Saccharomyces cerevisiae S288C: one gene and its partners. Changing the gene in region 1 together with any one later gene gives a genetic interaction. Each region holds a gene or a part of one and is shown in the gene's direction. Other genes may lie near its edges. The genes, in order: ERF2, TCA17, ZNG1 and PLB2.

Region 1 (5,301 bases):
TCGCGTTGGTGTCATGGTATTAGGACCTGCAGGTGCGGGGAAAAGCACATTTTGTAATTCCATTATATCACATATGCAAACTGTAGGACGAAGAGCTCATATTGTAAATTTAGACCCTGCCGCAGAAGCTACCAAGTATGAATTTACTATTGACATTAGAGATTTAATTTCCTTAGATGATGTCATGGAAGAAATGGATTTGGGCCCCAATGGTGCGCTAATATATTGCTTCGAATATCTTTTGAAAAATCTAGACTGGCTTGACGAAGAGATCGGGGATTTCAACGATGAATATTTAATCTTTGACTGTCCCGGTCAAATTGAACTCTACACGCATATCCCTGTCTTACCGAACATAGTGCGCCATTTAACTCAACAACTGAATTTCAACCTTTGCGCCACATATCTTTTGGAAGCGCCATTTGTGATAGATAGCTCAAAATTTTTTAGCGGTGCACTATCTGCTATGTCTGCGATGATTCTATTGGAACTACCCCATATCAATGTGTTGAGCAAACTAGACTTGATAAAAGGCGACATCAATAAGAAAAAACTGAAAAGATTTTTGAATCCCGATGCAATGTTATTAATGGAAACGGAAGGAATGAATCAAGCATCCAACCCTAAATTTCTAAGACTGAACCAGTGCATAGCCAACCTCGTCGATGATTTCGGTATGGTTCAATTTTTACCTTTGGAATCTAATAATCCTGACAGTATAGAAACCATATTATCGTATGTCGATGATATAACACAATGGGCAGAAGGACAAGAACAGAAAGAGCCTAACGACCAAATAGATGTCGAAGAATAGTTATAGAGAAAATTATGTACGCTTGATTCATATAAAAAGAGGTAAAAAAAAAAAATAGCTTCTCATAATAACCAATTCGGACTCGGGAAAGTACAAGTTCAAGTTTTTTATTGGTTTCTATATGTATAAGATAAAAATACCTAGATCTATTTAATTCTCTGTCTTGGGCCACCTGGTGATTTCTTATTCCTGGCTGTTAGGATTTCAACACCATGTTCGGTAACCAACAGTGTATGTTCAAATTGAGCACTCAGTTTACCGTCTTGGGTGGTAGAAGTCCAGTCATCAGGCCAGGTCATATCCTTCCAAGTACCTTCATTAATCATAGGTTCGATGGTGAAAACCATACCTGGTTTCATAACACCAGGTGTTCTATTCTTGGCGTAGTGGGGAATATTTGGGGAACAATGGAAAAATTCACCAACACCATGTCCACAATAAGTTCTTACTACACTGCACTTATTTTCGGTAGCGTGTTTTTCAATATGATCACCTAACTCTTGGAAGGTGGTACCTGGCTTACACATTTTAATGGCTAGTTTCAAACATTCTCTTGAGGTCTCAGTAGTATTAAGAGCTTCCTTAGAAATGTTTTCGCCGACATAATATGTCTCATTCAAGTCTGCATGATAACCTTGGTAGTATAAGGAAACATCTAAATTGACAATATCACCTTCCTTCAAGACAGTTTTATCGGGCACACCGTGACAAATAACTTCATTGACAGAGGTACAAAGCGATTTAGGAAAGTTGTAATAATTAAGAGGGGAAGGGTAGGCACCTCTCTTAATTGTTTCATTGTGGACGATTTCATCTAATTCATCTGTAGTGATGCCTGGTCTGACATGGGCAGCGGCAATATCAAGAACTTCTCTACCCAACATACATGCCTTTCTAATCTTCTTAATTTGATCTTTCTTGTATATAGGGATGTTGTTAAGTCTATCATTTCTTTGTTCACTGACTGGTAGCCCATTAGCGGCCCAGTCCGGTTTAGGAATATCTTCAGGGACATACCTTCTTGGGGTAAGTGGATATGAAGCCTTCACTTTACCAGAATATTTGAATTTTGGGAAAGGATCATAAGCACCTTCCAAGCCGTCCTTAGCATTGTGCAAAGCTTTGTGAGCTTTGTAGTTGTTTTCATAACAGCTTGTGTCGCAGAAAATGGAAACGATGCCTTGTTTTAGACAAACAGGGCATTTCATTTGGGACGAAGTTTCTCTACCACATTGCAAACCGGAGCAATATATCTTGGTAGGATGAGAAGCCTGATCGGAGGTAGTAACTGTTGTAGTTGCAGTGCTCATTATACAATTTTTTTGCTTATTTTTTTCTTGCTAGGAATATACACAATAGCGTTCTTGGGATGAATAATAATAATATCAGTTTTTCTTCTTTATATGAAAAATGAAAAAAAAAAAAAATAAGTAAAAAATTTTCGCTTTCTTTTCGGGGAGCAGCCAAATAAAGATTGCTGCTAGTTTAAATGAGATGGACCAAAAGCCATGGGCAGCAGTTCTCCCATTGTCATGACTTTAGAACGAGAACCTGTGGAATTAAGCATGACTATTGGAAAGTCCTTGACCACAAATTCATTGATAAACTGCCTGCAAACGCCGCAAGGGGAAACACACTGGTCCTCAGAATCGCCACAAATGACCATGCATTTCCATCCTGAGCGATGGCCTGCCATTAGAACTTGTATCATAGCAGATCGTTCTGCACATATACAATTACTGTAGCTTGCATTCTCGACATTAGCACCAGTGAAGATAACATCGTTATTTGTTAATATGGAACAACCGACACGGAAGTGAGAATAGGGGCTATAGGAGAGTTCACACGCCTTCAGTGCCGCCCTTTTTAAGGCTTCCAGTTGTCTGTCTTCTATGCCACCTACTTTCATTACCTTATTTCTCTGCTTGAGATTCTCTGTTTGGTTTTCCTAGTTTCTTGTACATAAACAGTTTGTGTTTATTTTGTCAAACTACTCGGAAATTGGCGAGCAGCGCCTTATCAAGATTACAGTTTGCAAATATAAAAATGTAAAGGAAAGAAAGCGTAAGGTAACAAGAAGAGAAACGGGGAAGATAATGGCCTTGGTCTCTAGAAGGTCGACAAGATCGGAAAGCACCTCAATAACAAAGGAAGAGCATACAGGAGAAGGTTCATTGACGAAGTTGTTCTTCCGATGGCTTGTTACCTTGGAGGGTGATCAGGATATAAACGATGGAAAAGGTTATATATCGTTACCGAATGTCTCGAATTATATATTCTTCCTTGGTGGCAGGTTCAGGACAGTAAAGGGCGCCAAACCGTTGTGGTTAGGTGTTCTCCTTGCTATTGTATGTCCCATGGTTCTCTTCTCCATATTTGAGGCTCACAAATTGTGGCATACCCAAAATGGTTATAAAGTGCTGGTCATTTTCTTCTATTATTTTTGGGTCATAACGCTAGCATCCTTTATCAGAACAGCCACTAGTGATCCTGGCGTTCTTCCGAGAAATATTCATTTAAGTCAACTAAGAAATAATTATCAGATCCCGCAAGAATATTACAACTTGATAACACTACCAACACATTCTTCAATTTCAAAAGACATTACTATCAAGTATTGTCCATCATGTAGGATATGGAGACCACCTCGGTCTTCTCACTGTTCCACATGTAACGTCTGCGTAATGGTTCATGACCACCATTGCATATGGGTCAATAATTGCATAGGAAAAAGGAACTACCGGTTCTTTTTAATATTCCTGTTAGGTGCAATACTTTCGTCCGTCATATTATTAACTAATTGTGCCATCCATATTGCACGGGAATCAGGGGGGCCTCGCGATTGTCCCGTTGCAATATTGTTACTTTGCTATGCAGGGCTAACCTTATGGTATCCGGCAATACTGTTTACTTATCACATATTTATGGCAGGTAATCAGCAAACAACAAGGGAATTTTTGAAAGGTATTGGATCGAAAAAAAACCCTGTATTCCATCGTGTGGTCAAGGAGGAAAACATATATAATAAGGGGTCCTTTTTGAAAAATATGGGTCACTTGATGTTAGAACCAAGGGGCCCAAGCTTTGTAAGTGCCAGAAAGCCACATGAAGCTGGAGATTGGAGATTTATGGATTTATCGCCAGCACACAGCTTTGAAAAAATACAGAAAATATAAGGAAGTATAGATATAAAGAACTCAGCGACACAGTAGTACGTAAAATATAAAAAGGTTACTGAAAGGAGTGAATTCCGCCATAGTATAGGTTGAGTATACGCAAATAAACGTTGGAAATTGGCTAGAATGTTAAAAAAAACATTCATTAAAAGGTTCTTTTCGTATAACTTTTACAACAAATAAGTGGTTGTTTGGCCGAGCGGTCTAAGGCGCCTGATTCAAGAAAATATCTTGACTGCAGTTAACTGTAGGAATACTCAGGTATCGTAAGATGCAAGAGTTCGAATCTCTTAGCAACCATTATTTTTGCCTTCCGAAAATTTTGAAGCTACATATTAGCACTCTTCTTCAGATGTCAGACAACGTGCAGCATCTTTTTTTCCTACCATTGAATATATATATAGTAATTACGGCAACCGTTTATATAAAAATTCAAAAGATTAAATATTTTAATATATTAGTGTCTGGTTTAAAAGTCATACTTCTCTAATCACTACCGTGAAAAAAGCAGTTCCATAAGTGTTCATTACTGACTTCTTGGTCTACCACGCTTATCTCAAACTTCGCATCATCGCTTTCCTCATTATCCGTTTCATCTTGTGCTTCGTCGTATTTATCGCCTTTTTTTGACTTCTCCTTTCTTTTGCGCTCTTCGAGTATACATTTATATCTGAGGATGTTTTCTTCAACGGTATTTCTGATCATGAAATTCCACACAAAAGTTTCTTCATCTTGTCCTATACGATTATTCCTTCCCATAGCTTGTAATTCATCACTATTATTAAGGATAGGATCTAGTAGGAAAATATGTTTTGCATTTATCAAATTCAGGCCGGCACCTAAAGTTTTCACATTCAAAAGTAGGCAAGTGACGGAAGGCTGGCGTTTGAAGTTATTTATAGTTTCGCCAACATTGGCTGTATTAGATAGACATGCCAAGTGTTCAATGTGATACAACTTTAATACCTTACCAATGACCTTTAAATATTCTGTCTTTTGAGAGTATAGAATAACTTGTGGCGGATCAGCGTTTTCCTGCTCACTTTTTAGCCTCAGGTAAGATATTAACTTGATGACGAAATCAATCTTAGCACCAAAACTTTCCTTTATGTGAATTTGATGGACTTCATTAATTTGATGGAATTGCTCGTATTTATTTCCGAATAATTTTTCTACTTCACTCATATTGGATATAATCGAGTTTTCATTTGAATTATCTTGAGACGAATCGGCGCCCTCTCTTCGTGGCTCTTGAATTTCTTTTTCCCTCTTCTCCGTTGAGTTCTTGAACTTAAAGTTATAGACTTCCGA
Region 2 (4,735 bases), on another chromosome or scaffold:
CAAGGTGGTGGTATTAGACAATCTGGTATGATGGCTAGAATGGCTCTTGTAAACATCAACAACGATTGGAAGTCCCAATTGCTGTACTCGCACTCTTTGGCTCATGAATTAGCCGAATATTGTGAGGCAAAGGGCATCCCGCTAGAGTCTCCAGCAGACACCAACTTTGTCTTTATTAACCTGAAGGCCGCTAGAATGGACCCAGATGTCCTTGTTAAGAAGGGTTTGAAGTACAACGTTAAGCTAATGGGTGGTAGAGTCTCGTTCCACTATCAAGTCACCAGAGATACTTTGGAAAAAGTCAAATTGGCCATCTCCGAGGCCTTCGACTATGCTAAAGAACATCCTTTCGACTGTAACGGACCTACCCAGATTTACCGTAGTGAATCCACCGAGGTCGACGTTGATGGCAACGCTATCCGCGAAATAAAAACCTACAAATACTGATGCGTTCCAGTTGCATCATGTGTATTGTTAGGGTTTTTGTTTTAGGATTGCTACCCTCTTCCTTTTTTTCATACATTACAATAATTTCGTGGCATTGTAGATTTAACGGCTTTCTTTTGCATCAATGATTTTTATATTCAAATGGGTTTTTTCTTTTTTCTGTTTTGTTATTCAAGGATATTTCAACTCTCACACCATAATTATAACTAATTATGTCGGCACATTTGAGAACCAATGGTTAGTTTCCAGCGCACCTAGCGACTAACTACCCTATTATGGAGGGACGAAGGTGGTCTTTCTGAGGGAAGGAGGAAAAAAAGGTAAGAACCTCTTTTCTTTGTTCCCCATTGAGAGATCGACTGAATATGTTTGGTTTTTTTGGTACTTGATTAAAGTTTACAACGGTACGTATCCACGTGGAGAAGCACATTTCTTTGTATTCTACGATACTACGTATTAAGATTGAATGTACCCATGTATATTCTCGCAGGGTTTCTTCACAGGATTTCGACGTACACCTTTTATACAAATATATATATATATTTATATGTATGCGTAAGAGTCTAAAAAACGTTCACTTTAATTCCTTTTTTGCTTTTACTACTATTGTCTTTCTTCTTTCATTTGTCATCATGCAGTGAATGACTGAAACAATAGAGACAGGTATGAAAAAGAAAATTTTTTTCTTTTCAAACGGTAACGGGGGCAACGCGTCGCGTTCCTGAACAGCTTAATCTATTGCACGTATAAAAGCTGAGAACAATACGCTGACATAGCACCCCATTTTTTTTTCTTATCTTCACTTCAACAACCCCTCATCCGTAATTGTAAATGTCTCTCTCTCCCGTTGTTGTTATTGGAACCGGTTTGGCCGGGCTGGCTGCTGCCAATGAATTGGTTAACAAGTATAACATCCCTGTAACCATCCTCGAAAAGGCTTCCTCGATCGGTGGGAACTCTATCAAGGCCTCCAGTGGTATTAACGGTGCTTGCACCGAGACTCAACGTCACTTCCACATCGAGGACTCCCCACGCTTATTTGAAGATGACACCATCAAGTCTGCTAAAGGTAAAGGTGTCCAAGAATTAATGGCTAAGTTGGCCAATGATTCTCCCCTGGCTATTGAATGGTTGAAAAACGAATTTGATTTGAAATTGGACCTATTGGCTCAATTGGGTGGCCACTCTGTGGCAAGAACTCACAGATCGTCTGGGAAGTTGCCTCCAGGTTTCGAAATTGTTTCTGCCTTATCTAACAATTTGAAGAAATTAGCTGAGACTAAACCAGAGTTAGTTAAGATTAACTTAGACAGTAAAGTCGTAGACATCCATGAAAAGGATGGCTCCATTTCTGCTGTAGTGTACGAGGACAAGAATGGCGAAAAGCACATGGTGAGTGCTAACGATGTCGTTTTTTGTTCTGGAGGGTTTGGCTTTTCTAAGGAAATGCTTAAAGAATACGCACCCGAACTGGTGAACTTGCCAACAACAAACGGGCAACAAACAACTGGTGATGGTCAAAGGCTTCTGCAGAAGTTAGGCGCTGATCTGATTGACATGGACCAAATTCAAGTTCATCCAACTGGGTTCATTGATCCAAATGACCGTAGCTCAAGCTGGAAATTCTTGGCTGCCGAATCCTTAAGAGGTCTTGGTGGTATCCTATTAAACCCTATTACCGGTAGAAGATTTGTCAACGAATTGACCACAAGAGATGTAGTCACTGCAGCTATTCAAAAGGTTTGTCCTCAAGAGGATAACAGAGCACTATTGGTTATGGGCGAAAAAATGTACACAGATTTGAAGAATAATTTAGATTTTTACATGTTCAAGAAACTTGTACAGAAATTGACATTATCTCAAGTTGTTTCTGAATATAATTTACCAATCACTGTCGCCCAATTATGCGAGGAATTGCAAACATACTCTTCCTTCACTACCAAGGCTGATCCGTTGGGACGTACCGTTATTCTCAACGAATTTGGCTCTGACGTTACTCCAGAAACTGTGGTTTTTATTGGTGAAGTAACACCGGTTGTCCATTTCACCATGGGTGGTGCTAGAATCAATGTCAAGGCTCAAGTCATTGGCAAGAACGACGAAAGGCTACTAAAAGGCCTGTACGCGGCCGGTGAAGTTTCTGGCGGTGTTCATGGCGCCAATAGGTTGGGTGGTTCAAGTTTGTTAGAATGCGTTGTCTTTGGGAGAACCGCAGCTGAATCTATTGCCAATGACCGCAAGTAACGAATTTTATAAATGAATCATTTCTAAACGATTTTTTAATAGTATATAAGTAGTATTAATATTATTATTATTTTTTTTTTTTTTTTTTTTTCACTTTCGAAGTTCTGCCGGAAGAGCTCATCGACGGCCAAGAAACATTTTACATAAAAGTTATTGAGTTGAAAATTGAGTAAATATTCTCTCCAAAAATCAAATTGTACGTTTATATCACCAAACTATGAGCTTGAGGCCTTGCTTCGTATCATTGATAGATGAATCTGATAAACCTATATTGATTTACGTCCCTAATGAGGCGGAGAATGAGATGAATGATGTACTCAAATATAACGTGCTTTCTAACATATCGTTAGATTATTTTGAAAGTGCTTTGGTTGAATGGCATTCTTTAGATTCCAAACCTCTTCTGAAGTCAATTTTTCAATTGGAAGGTGTCTCTGTATTTGCTATGTTGATTAAGCAGACGGGCCTGAAGATTGTCATTGGATTTGAACAAAAAAGCCTAAGTGGAGCTGATGATGAATTTGAAGCAATCAATCAGATTTTCGAAACCGTAAGAAAAATCTATATACGTGTCAAATGTAATCCTTTACTTGTTAGCGGTGACGAAAAGTCCATTATAAAAAGCTTGGAAAGAAAATTTGATGAGTTGTTTATTTCAACTGAAGTTGAATTATAAATGATAATTTATTAGTCGATTCTTTCACGAATGAAAGCAAAATTTAATGTCACTGCTTTGGAGTGAGAGCGATTCAGAGAAGTTATTAATGTCTAATATGTCCAACTTGGTGACAGTTTCGCCTTGCCTAATTAGCGGGGATCAGGTGCCGGTAGTATATCTCAGATGACCGTGACAATCAAACTTTCTACTTCATTCAAGTGACTGTCAATTGTCATGCTGTTCATGAATAAATAAGATACGGAGACAATTAAGGCGATCGCTTTGACTCTACTGCTAACGAAAATTGTCCGAATTGAACAGATGTGGAAGCAATCACTATACGTTACTTCATAATGAAGATATTTGTTGGCTTTCCGAGATATAGACTGATCTTTGTCACTTCATATCCGGCACGGCAATTTTTACATGGGATGGCTCGTCATAAAGATACTGCGACCTTTGGAAAGTCTGAAATAAGTGCTAGGTTATGGTTACAACGAGAATTGACAGATATGATGTGATTGTTCACGTATGTACGTATAAAGATATTTATACTACCAAAAAAAAAAAAAGGGTTTTTTTTTATTTCATTATCTAAGTTTCATAGCATTTCCTTCATTAAATTGGCGTTTGTCTCTAGTTTGCGATAGTGTAGATACCGTCCTTGGATAGAGCACTGGAAATGGCTGGCTTTAATCTGCTGGAGTACCATGGAACACCGGTGATCATTCTGGTCACTTGGTCTGGGGCAATACCAGTCAACATGGTGGTGAAGTCACCGTAGTTGAAAACGGCCTCAGCAACTTCAATTGGGTAGGTTTCAGTTGGGTGAGCAGCTTGGAAAGAGTAGTATTGAGCCAAATGAGCTCTGATATCAGATACGTAGACACCCAATTCAACCAAGTTGACTCTTTCGTCAGATTGAGCTAGAGTGGTGGTTGCGGAAGCAGTAGCAGCGATGGCGGCAACACCAGCGGCAATTGAAGTTAATTTGACCATTTTATTTGTTTTGTTTGTGCTGATATAAGCTTAACTAGGAAGAGAAGAGTGGAGGCATATACCAAAGAGAGGTAACCAAAGCAGTTCAATTTATATGAATTTCTCGGCCAGCTTCTCTTACATGAACGAGGGGCCACCTTTCACCTCATGAACATTATTGTTATTGCTATTGTTATTGAGATGCCTTTACTCATGAACGATCCATTTTTGGAGGTCTCGTATAAGAGGGCGCGGTTTTGAGTTAATGATACTCATTCGTATATTCAGAATGCAAGAATGTGCTTACAGTGGAGACTAGTTGAACCTTTTTTGAGTCCCTGAAATATTTCCAGTCTGCTAGCTCAGCAGTTGAGTCGAAGTAATATGATATGAGTGTTCGTTCAGAAA
Region 3 (4,394 bases), on another chromosome or scaffold:
TGGAATTGACGTTAGCTATTATCAATCAGTTTTTTCATCTTGTTTGATTCTCTTATAGGTGAAGAAGACATCGCTTTTAACAATCGAATTGGCCGTCAATTCTTTCAAAAAAACGGTAGGGGTCTTGTCGAAAATGATCTGTTTGAGTAGAGACAAAACATTCACTCTCTCTTGGAAAACAAAGTTCTTAATGTAGGTTGGGTCAAATCCAGTAAACATCTTTGTTGTGTTAACTAGCTCCCAATGGTTGGTAGTCTTATTCTCGAATGGCAATTGAGAGGCGGTTGGCTCGTGGGTGATCAAGAAATCAAAGGAGGGCCACATTTCCTGCAGTAAAGTCGTATTTTCAGTCTTATCGTAATTGATGCCGTACACACCGTAGTTCAATTCACCAAATAAAGTGACACCTGTCATGCAAGGAGGTATGCTGATATGAACTGTAGCGTTTGTAATATTTTTTTCCACAATCATGTCATTAAAAGAAGTTAAAGCCTCGCCGCCTGGATAATTCATTCTTGATATATACAAGAACGCCATTGAAATGAAAAAGGAGGTCATTATAGATAAGGGCAATATAGCCAAACATAAAACATTGGTAATCTTTTTTACTTTCATATTCTCCCATAGATGTGCTGCTCCTGTGGCACCTAGCAACATGATAGATGGAACAGCGTAGATGATGAATCTCCATTCTTTGTGAGGTTGAAAGGATAAGACGATAATGTGGAAAAGAGATGCTAGTGAGACAATTTTTAATTTTGCAGGTGCTAATTTATAGCCGAAGTAATTCAATAGTAAAACAGTTGGTGGCATAAACATCATTCTCAAGTAATGCGTGAAATAAGCAGTAACTGGCTCCACACCCCACTTGGAAGCGTAACCCGCAACCACGTTGAACAAGAAACCATCTACCTCAGGTAGACACCATTCTTGCCAGAAATATGAATCAACGGTGATACTGATGGCGGAACCAAGTCCCAAGCCAAAGATACCGAATTTGATAGCATCGAATAAAGAAATCTTCTTGAAGATGACGCTAAATAGAGCAATACCAGCACTGAGAGCTGACACTTCCAGTCTAAATACAATTGCCACGAGCGCAGATAGGAATATAGCTGCATTATAACGACCCAATAAAACCCACCCCAATGCGACGTTGGTTAGAGGCAGAGTCATGACAAAATTAGGCAGAGTCCTAGTGCTGTAGAACATGAGGTGGAAACTGCCAATTAAAAATAAAAGAAACCATGTACCAGCGCTATCGTAAATGTATATATCCTTGTCTTCATTTTCTTCCTTTTTCTTTTCAGTGATTTCATCAAACATATCTTGCAAACAATTCTTTAAATAGATAAAAGAAAGCCCATTGGTGAGGCCAACAATCCCCCTAACGACCAATTGAACATCTATAGACGTAGGCCTGGAAGTTTGGATCAAAGAACTCAAGTAAAGATAAGGTCTCGAAAGCATTGCAATAATCACAGCACCAACGAATGTTCTAGGGACTACTCCAGGAAATTTCAAGTGGTCATATTGGGAGATATCAAATACGCTGTAGGTTAAAATATCATGAATGGCTTGAATATTAAAACTCTCTTCCACCTTGGTGAATGGAGCTTGGATTAGATGAAAGGAAATCACGGTCAATAGCACTGTATCAAGGACAGACCAACGCATTGTCAACTGAATCGTTGTTTAATGGCTTTATTCAACTCTTTTAACAACACTAATCGTTAATGGTTTCACTTGCTATTAGTAAATTCCTTGCGTTATAAACTGTGAAGTGCCACGACATTTAATGCCGGCTGGTAAAAGGTTGTTCATTTTTAAGGGCCGAATTTTTCATTTTCATTTTCATTTTTTTTTTTTTTTCACTATTGGAATAACATGTATATTATAAATATTATATAATATTAAATGTTTAATGCGCTTGTAAAGCCAAGAACACCCTTTTCATTGAGGAATTTTCAACTTTTAAAGCGGAAGAATGTCTGCATTGAGAAACATCAAGTTCAATGAAGAAGAAGATGGTGAACTACCCTGCCTCGTAACAGGTGAAGAAAATAATCTACAAGAAATTTTGGAAAATGTCTCGTATGATGGTGGAAATATTGTTAGCGATGCAAAAGTTGAAAGGGTAAACAAGCAAGTGGAGAACACTTCTGCAGGCGCAACAGATGTGCACGAGAAAAAGCGTATTCCTGTGAGCATTATTACCGGCTATCTAGGATCAGGTAAATCGACGTTGCTGGAAAAAATTGCATTAAAAGGTGCAGATAAAAAAATTGCCGTAATTTTAAATGAATTTGGAGATTCTAGTGAAATCGAAAAGGCTATGACCATTAAAAATGGATCGAACAGCTACCAAGAATGGTTGGATTTGGGTAACGGGTGTCTGTGTTGTTCGTTGAAAAATATAGGTGTTAAAGCCATCGAAGATATGGTGGAGCGTTCACCTGGTAAAATCGATTATATCCTTTTAGAGACCTCCGGTATTGCAGATCCCGCCCCCATTGCGAAAATGTTCTGGCAGGACGAAGGATTGAATAGCAGCGTTTACATTGACGGGATCATCACGGTTTTGGATTGTGAGCATATACTAAAATGCTTAGATGATATTTCCATCGATGCCCATTGGCATGGTGACAAAGTTGGTTTGGAGGGGAATCTGACTATTGCACACTTCCAACTAGCCATGGCTGATCGAATTATAATGAACAAATACGATACTATCGAACATTCACCAGAAATGGTCAAACAATTAAAAGAAAGAGTACGGGAAATAAATTCTATCGCACCGATGTTCTTCACCAAGTATAGTGATACGCCGATTCAAAATTTACTAGATATTCATGCATACGACAGTGTACGGATATCTGACATCTTAGATAGTGGTAGCGGAAACGGTACCATTCATGATGATCGAATGGGCACAATAATGCTTACTTTCAGACCATTAAAAAACGAGGAAGAATATAATAATAAGTTTATTAAGCAATTTTTGCAACCTTTATTGTGGAAGAATTTTGGAGCCATGACAGTGCTGGGAGGGCGTCGCCGAGATGACGGCCGTGATTGGGAAGTACAAAGAACTAAAGGTCTGATACTTATTGAAGGAGAGAACCCCATTGCTCGTGTAATCCAAGGCGTCCGCGACACCTACGATGTCTTTCCAGGCAAATATGACGGATCCAATAAAGAGTGTAAAATTGTGCTGATTGGGAAGTACCTAGAAAAGGAATCCATAGAGGAACTGTTACGTAAAACCCTGGAATGATGGTTGGCATAATAAAGACGAGGTAAGTTATGTATATTTATACGTATGTATGTGATACAAAATGAATGAATATTAAGCGGATGGATCGAAACATTTTAATCCTCTCTAATAGAAACTATTTTAGACGATCTGTTGAATATTCTTTTCCTGTACTTGGCCAAAACGTAGAAAAGTAACAATACCGAAATACCAAGCATAATCTTTGGTAAAGGATGGTGAAGCTGATTATATTTTGCGTCTTCTAACTTTCTTTGACTACCCTGGTATAAATAATTCTTCAATGTAATACCTTTCTCCAAATCGCCGTTTTGGTAATCTTGAAGCCTTTGTAAATACTTTTCGTGAGCTTCCTTTGCATGCTGAATCCTGTGTTCCTGGGATGAAATGTAACCTATTGTTATTGGTTGCTCTGGTTTGCCATTTTCGTCAGTTTTCACATTAGCTAGTTTATCCATCAGATCTTTTAACCCGGCGGTAACTTGGCCAAACACAACACTTTCACCTTCAAGTGGCGTCTCACTGGTCTCAATTATAAACTTAAGACCCTTATCGTCCTTAATCATGGAAACTCTGCCTGGCCTATCATGAATTAAACTATGATTTTCTTCCGGGAGTTTTGGAGCCAACATTTCCGTTTCTTCAATAGAGGAGGAAGAAACGGAGCTACCTTCTATAGCTCCATTCGGTAGAATTTTATCAAAATCGCGTTCTGGCGAGTAACTGTGACGGGAAGCAAGGCGATCTTTTACACTATCAACATACTGGCAAAAAGTCATTACTGTCTTGGGCACCATAGTCCCGTATAAGTCTATTGTTATGAGACGGCCGGCTTCTTCCGAACTTTCAGGATCTGTGAAAACAATTCCGATGTTTACATTATGTGTAATAGGAGGGTCTGGTGCGTATTTTTTCTTTAGGTCTAAGGAGTCTGAAGAAGCCCTTTTGTTATCCACAGGTAATGGCAGAGCCGTTATGCAACTAAACATGAATGCCACATAAAGATAAAGAAAAAAGCTCTTCATTGGGAACCAATGTATACAAATTGTAATAATCTTTCAATTGTGATACTGAATATGAATAGTCTTCTTTATTTATCTACTGCAGTAGTTGATTCTAT
Region 4 (5,890 bases), on another chromosome or scaffold:
GGTTTACGCCCTTATCTATAAAGGGAAATAACCTCATACAGTAACATGTCCGCTTATTCCCGCATATTTTTCTCAGTTAAGCAACATTCATTTACGTCTCCTATTTTTGCTTAGAAGATGACTTGGTTACTTTATTTTCTTCTAACTGCTTAGGTAAACTACATCATCTAATATATAAAGACGCTTCCACCACATTTAACCAACGGAAACGTCTCTTCGCTGTAAGGTTCTACATTTATTAGGTTATACTAACTAATCAATTCTTCGTTCTTTTCTTAACATTTCTCTCTTTTTTCGTTCATATAACGTAAATTACACGAAGCTATCCATCCTAAGGGCAAACGGGAAAGAAAATAAAACAAAACCATGAAGTTGCAGAGTTTGTTGGTTTCTGCTGCAGTTTTGACTTCTCTAACAGAGAACGTTAACGCTTGGTCACCAAATAACAGTTACGTCCCTGCGAACGTAACCTGTGATGATGATATTAACTTAGTCAGAGAAGCATCTGGTTTGTCAGATAACGAAACAGAATGGCTGAAAAAAAGAGATGCATACACCAAGGAGGCTTTGCATTCTTTTTTGAATAGGGCCACTTCGAATTTCAGTGACACTTCCTTGCTATCCACTCTTTTTGGTAGCAACTCTTCCAATATGCCTAAGATTGCCGTCGCCTGTTCTGGTGGTGGTTACCGTGCCATGTTGTCTGGTGCTGGTATGCTTGCTGCTATGGACAATCGTACTGATGGCGCAAATGAGCATGGTCTTGGTGGGCTGCTGCAAGGTGCAACTTACTTGGCAGGTCTGTCGGGTGGTAACTGGTTAACAAGTACTTTGGCTTGGAACAACTGGACGTCTGTGCAAGCTATCGTGGATAATACAACAGAATCTAACTCAATTTGGGACATCTCTCATTCAATTCTTACCCCAGACGGCATTAACATCTTTAAGACTGGGAGTAGATGGGACGACATATCAGATGACGTTCAGGATAAAAAAGACGCCGGTTTCAACATCTCTTTGGCGGATGTTTGGGGCCGTGCTCTTGCGTACAATTTTTGGCCAAGCTTACACCGTGGTGGTGTAGGGTACACATGGTCAACTTTAAGGGAAGCTGATGTCTTCAAGAATGGAGAAATGCCCTTCCCTATCACTGTTGCAGACGGTAGATACCCAGGTACCACCGTGATAAACTTGAATGCCACTCTTTTCGAATTTAATCCCTTTGAAATGGGTTCATGGGACCCCACTTTGAACGCATTTACGGATGTGAAGTATTTAGGTACCAACGTTACAAACGGTAAACCAGTTAATAAAGGCCAATGCATTGCCGGGTTTGATAACACTGGTTTCATAACAGCCACTTCATCTACGTTGTTTAACCAATTTTTACTAAGATTGAATTCTACCGATTTACCTTCATTTATTGCTAACTTAGCCACCGATTTCCTGGAAGATTTATCCGACAATAGTGACGATATTGCAATTTACGCCCCAAATCCATTCAAGGAAGCTAATTTTCTTCAAAAGAACGCAACCTCCAGTATTATCGAATCAGAATATCTATTTTTGGTTGATGGTGGTGAAGATAACCAAAATATTCCTTTAGTTCCATTGTTGCAAAAGGAACGTGAACTAGATGTTATTTTTGCATTAGACAATTCTGCTGATACTGACGACTATTGGCCAGATGGTGCTTCATTAGTTAACACTTATCAGCGTCAATTTGGCAGCCAAGGTCTCAATTTGTCTTTCCCATATGTTCCAGATGTGAACACATTTGTCAACTTGGGGTTGAACAAAAAGCCAACCTTTTTTGGTTGTGATGCAAGAAATTTGACAGACTTGGAGTACATTCCACCATTAATTGTTTACATTCCAAATTCAAGACATTCATTTAATGGTAACCAAAGTACTTTTAAGATGTCATACTCCGATTCAGAACGTCTTGGTATGATTAAGAATGGGTTTGAAGCTGCCACAATGGGTAATTTTACTGATGATTCTGATTTCTTGGGCTGTGTTGGTTGCGCCATTATCAGACGTAAGCAACAAAACTTGAATGCTACATTGCCCTCTGAATGCAGCCAGTGTTTTACCAACTACTGCTGGAACGGTACTATTGACAGCAGGTCAGTCTCAGGTGTAGGAAATGATGATTATTCTTCTTCTGCTTCCTTGTCTGCCTCCGCCGCTGCTGCCTCTGCCTCTGCCTCTGCCTCTGCTTCCGCCTCTGCCTCTGCTTCTGGGTCTTCCACTCATAAGAAAAATGCGGGCAATGCTTTGGTGAATTATTCTAACTTAAACACTAACACTTTTATTGGTGTCTTAAGTGTCATTAGTGCCGTCTTCGGTCTAATTTAGGCTCTTTCTTCGTTTCTATTTCTTTTCTAAAAGAATACGAGAGTGAGAAAAGCGCAAAAATATCAACATACAAATAGTTTACGAGATCTCAAGTGCATACCGCATCTTATTTTTACAAACTCGAAATCTTACGAGCATTAACATTTACATACCGGGTGTCTTCCCTACATATATCTATCTATACAGATATGTTCATGCAGTACTTTCATCGAAGATATATAGATAGGTTTAAAGTGCAGAAGGAAAAAGCTAGGATTGCAGATATGCCATCTGCAGGCCAAATTTCACTTCCACATATCTGCACTGTTCATGAAAATGATCAGTTTCTTTCTTTCTTGCAGCTTTAGATAATCTGGTTTTTCTGCTTTTACACCTTAGAGATGAATCAAAGACACTCAATTCGGTTATACGACAAAGGGCGAACACAATGATGATTCTCACGACTAAATTAAGGACATACTTTTCAATGGTGATGCCTATAGAGAATTTACCGTCGCACCCAATGCAGCCGGTCTGGCCAAACTGGGAAATAAGGTTTTTCTTGGCTCGTATACGCCTTCGAAAAGCTCCTACAAAGGGACGCGTCGCCTTTTTCAACAATTTTTTACCTTGCGGACATTTCTTCCGCATATTCTCCACCTTGGCATTGTTTACCAACAGAAGAAAGTGAAAAAAAAATCAAAAAAAAGGTAAAAAAAGGACAAAGAGTTAAATAGTCTGAGAATCTTCTTCTTTTCGTATCTCATGTGGAGTAGAATATACCTTATATATGAGCACAATTAGTTATCTTTACAAGGCGTTAGAAATGTCTTTTAGCTTGTTTTTCCTTAGTGTGCCTTCAAATCTTATCAAGGGTTAGAAGTGAGTTAAAATTCACTCGCGCTGGTAAAGTAACACTTCTTACGCAGATGCAATTACGGAACATATTACAGGCTAGCTCGCTAATTTCTGGACTTTCGCTCGCTGCAGATTCGTCGTCCACTACTGGTGATGGTTATGCTCCATCAATAATTCCTTGTCCCAGTGATGATACCTCTTTAGTTAGAAACGCGTCTGGCTTATCTACCGCTGAAACTGATTGGTTAAAGAAAAGAGATGCGTACACTAAAGAAGCTTTACATTCCTTCTTAAGCAGAGCTACTTCTAACTTCAGTGACACTTCTTTGCTATCCACTCTTTTCAGTAGTAACTCTTCCAATGTACCCAAAATTGGTATTGCATGCTCTGGTGGTGGTTATCGTGCCATGTTGGGTGGTGCTGGTATGATTGCTGCTATGGACAATCGTACTGATGGTGCTAACGAGCATGGTCTTGGTGGTTTACTACAAAGTTCCACGTATCTATCGGGTTTGTCCGGTGGTAACTGGTTGACTGGTACTTTGGCATGGAACAATTGGACCTCTGTACAGGAAATTGTAGACCATATGAGTGAGAGCGATTCCATCTGGAATATCACGAAATCCATTGTGAACCCTGGTGGCTCTAATTTGACCTACACAATTGAAAGATGGGAGTCCATTGTACAAGAAGTGCAGGCTAAGTCTGATGCAGGCTTCAATATATCTTTGTCGGATTTGTGGGCCCGTGCACTTTCTTACAACTTCTTTCCAAGCTTGCCAGATGCTGGCTCCGCTTTGACTTGGTCCTCTTTGAGAGATGTTGATGTGTTCAAAAACGGTGAAATGCCTTTACCAATTACTGTTGCAGATGGTAGATACCCAGGTACCACCGTGATAAACTTGAATGCCACTCTTTTCGAGTTCACTCCATTTGAAATGGGTTCTTGGGATCCTTCTTTGAACGCTTTTACGGATGTGAAATATCTAGGTACCAACGTTACAAATGGTAAACCGGTCAACAAGGATCAATGCGTTTCTGGTTACGATAATGCTGGATTTGTAATTGCCACATCCGCCAGTTTATTCAACGAATTTTCCCTGGAAGCTTCCACTTCGACCTATTATAAAATGATTAATAGTTTTGCCAACAAGTACGTTAACAACCTATCCCAAGATGACGATGATATTGCAATTTACGCTGCAAATCCATTCAAGGATACAGAATTTGTTGACCGCAATTACACTTCCAGTATTGTTGATGCCGATGATTTGTTTTTAGTTGATGGTGGTGAGGACGGCCAAAATTTGCCGTTGGTTCCACTAATCAAGAAGGAACGTGACTTGGATGTGGTGTTCGCATTGGATATATCCGACAATACTGATGAATCATGGCCAAGTGGTGTGTGCATGACGAACACTTATGAGCGCCAGTATTCTAAGCAAGGTAAAGGAATGGCTTTCCCATATGTTCCAGACGTTAACACCTTCCTTAACTTGGGCTTAACTAATAAGCCAACGTTTTTTGGTTGTGATGCAAAAAATTTGACGGACTTGGAGTATATTCCACCTTTAGTTGTATATATCCCAAACACAAAACATTCATTCAATGGTAACCAAAGTACTTTGAAGATGAACTACAATGTTACAGAACGTCTTGGAATGATCAGAAATGGTTTTGAAGCTGCTACAATGGGCAACTTTACGGATGACTCTAACTTTTTAGGTTGCATAGGTTGTGCCATCATTAGACGTAAGCAAGAAAGCCTAAATGCCACCTTGCCCCCTGAATGTACCAAATGTTTTGCGGATTACTGCTGGAACGGCACACTAAGTACCTCAGCTAATCCTGAACTATCGGGAAATAGTACGTATCAAAGCGGTGCTATTGCCTCTGCAATCTCTGAGGCTACTGACGGTATTCCAATAACGGCTCTCTTAGGTTCATCAACCTCCGGAAATACTACATCAAACTCAACAACCTCGACTTCATCAAATGTCACTTCTAACTCAAACTCTTCGTCAAATACAACTTTAAACTCAAATTCTTCATCCTCTTCAATTTCTTCCTCTACAGCTCGTTCTTCTTCCTCTACGGCAAACAAAGCGAATGCTGCGGCTATTTCCTATGCGAACACTAATACTCTAATGAGTTTGTTAGGTGCCATAACAGCATTATTTGGACTAATTTAGAAGCCCTTCTGAGAAACAATACATAATACATCCTTTCACCCAAAAGGATAATGACAAGTAAATGTATAAAAATGTGTATTAATATGAAAATTTTTTTCCCGATTATCACTCCTCTTTCCGCTATTTTTGGTAGAAGGATGCCTAACTTCAAGGATTGATATATCTTCCTTATTATAAAGTTAAAATGAACAAAGCAAAAAGGTTGAATGGTCCTCAATAGCTTGGCGATGACTTGACTAAGCGACACCAACCGGCCTTCTTTATGTTAGTCAATCTTGTTTTTTTTATATCCTAGTTTATTTGAAACACTATACCTTTAAATATTATAGACAGTATAAGAGATGAGCAATTAATCTCTGATCTTGGCATAACCCTTTGAAATAATAGTCTGAACGCTGTTGCGCCTATTTTCGAGAGCAAAGAGTAAATCCCTCATTACTATACCAGGCTCCTCTCTAGCTTCTCTAAACTTTAGCCCACTTTCTCCTCTAGCCGTGATG

The links.
Region 2: mutations in ERF2 (region 1) and TCA17 together harm fitness more than expected from each alone (negative genetic interaction), as found in Saccharomyces cerevisiae (one large-scale study listed by BioGRID).
Region 3: mutations in ERF2 (region 1) and ZNG1 together harm fitness more than expected from each alone (negative genetic interaction), as found in Saccharomyces cerevisiae (2 studies listed by BioGRID).
Region 4: mutations in ERF2 (region 1) and PLB2 together harm fitness less than expected from each alone (positive genetic interaction), as found in Saccharomyces cerevisiae (one large-scale study listed by BioGRID).

The regions. Positions count from the first base shown.
Region 1 is NC_001144.5:624,208-629,508, forward strand, and holds ERF2 (palmitoyltransferase ERF2), read left to right. Parts: upstream 1-2,910; coding exon 2,911-3,990; downstream 3,991-5,301. Other genes in the region: putative signal sequence-binding GTPase GPN3, read left to right, coding at 1-814; methionine aminopeptidase MAP1, read right to left, coding at 961-2,124; CDD1 (cytidine deaminase), read right to left, coding at 2,295-2,723; E3 ubiquitin-protein ligase IRC20, read right to left, coding at 4,477-5,301. UniProt on the Saccharomyces cerevisiae protein: The ERF2-SHR5 complex is a palmitoyltransferase specific for Ras proteins. Palmitoylates RAS2, which is required for its proper plasma membrane localization.
Region 2 is NC_001137.3:63,341-68,075, reverse strand, and holds TCA17 (Tca17p), read left to right. Parts: upstream 1-2,908; coding exon 2,909-3,367; downstream 3,368-4,735. Other genes in the region: threonine aldolase GLY1, read left to right, coding at 1-447; FRD1 (fumarate reductase), read left to right, coding at 1,279-2,691; seripauperin PAU2, read right to left, coding at 3,986-4,348. UniProt on the Saccharomyces cerevisiae protein: Required, together with the TRAPP II subunit TRS33, for TRAPP II complex assembly or stability, and for proper Golgi localization of TRAPP and the Rab GTPase YPT31.
Region 3 is NC_001146.8:676,082-680,475, reverse strand, and holds ZNG1 (GTP-dependent zinc transferase), read left to right. Parts: upstream 1-1,987; coding exon 1,988-3,277; downstream 3,278-4,394. Other genes in the region: ALG12 (dolichyl-P-Man:Man(7)GlcNAc(2)-PP-dolichol alpha-1,6-mannosyltransferase), read right to left, coding at 22-1,677; peptidylprolyl isomerase family protein CPR8, read right to left, coding at 3,373-4,299. UniProt on the Saccharomyces cerevisiae protein: Zinc chaperone that directly transfers zinc cofactor to target metalloproteins, thereby activating them.
Region 4 is NC_001145.3:277,061-282,950, reverse strand, and holds PLB2 (lysophospholipase), read left to right. Parts: upstream 1-3,269; coding exon 3,270-5,390; downstream 5,391-5,890. Other genes in the region: PLB1 (lysophospholipase), read left to right, coding at 367-2,361; YMR007W (uncharacterized protein), read right to left, coding at 2,611-2,991; TAF4 (Taf4p), read right to left, coding at 5,740-5,890. UniProt on the Saccharomyces cerevisiae protein: Sequentially removes both fatty acyl groups from diacylglycerophospholipids and therefore has both phospholipase A and lysophospholipase activities. However, it does not display transacylase activity.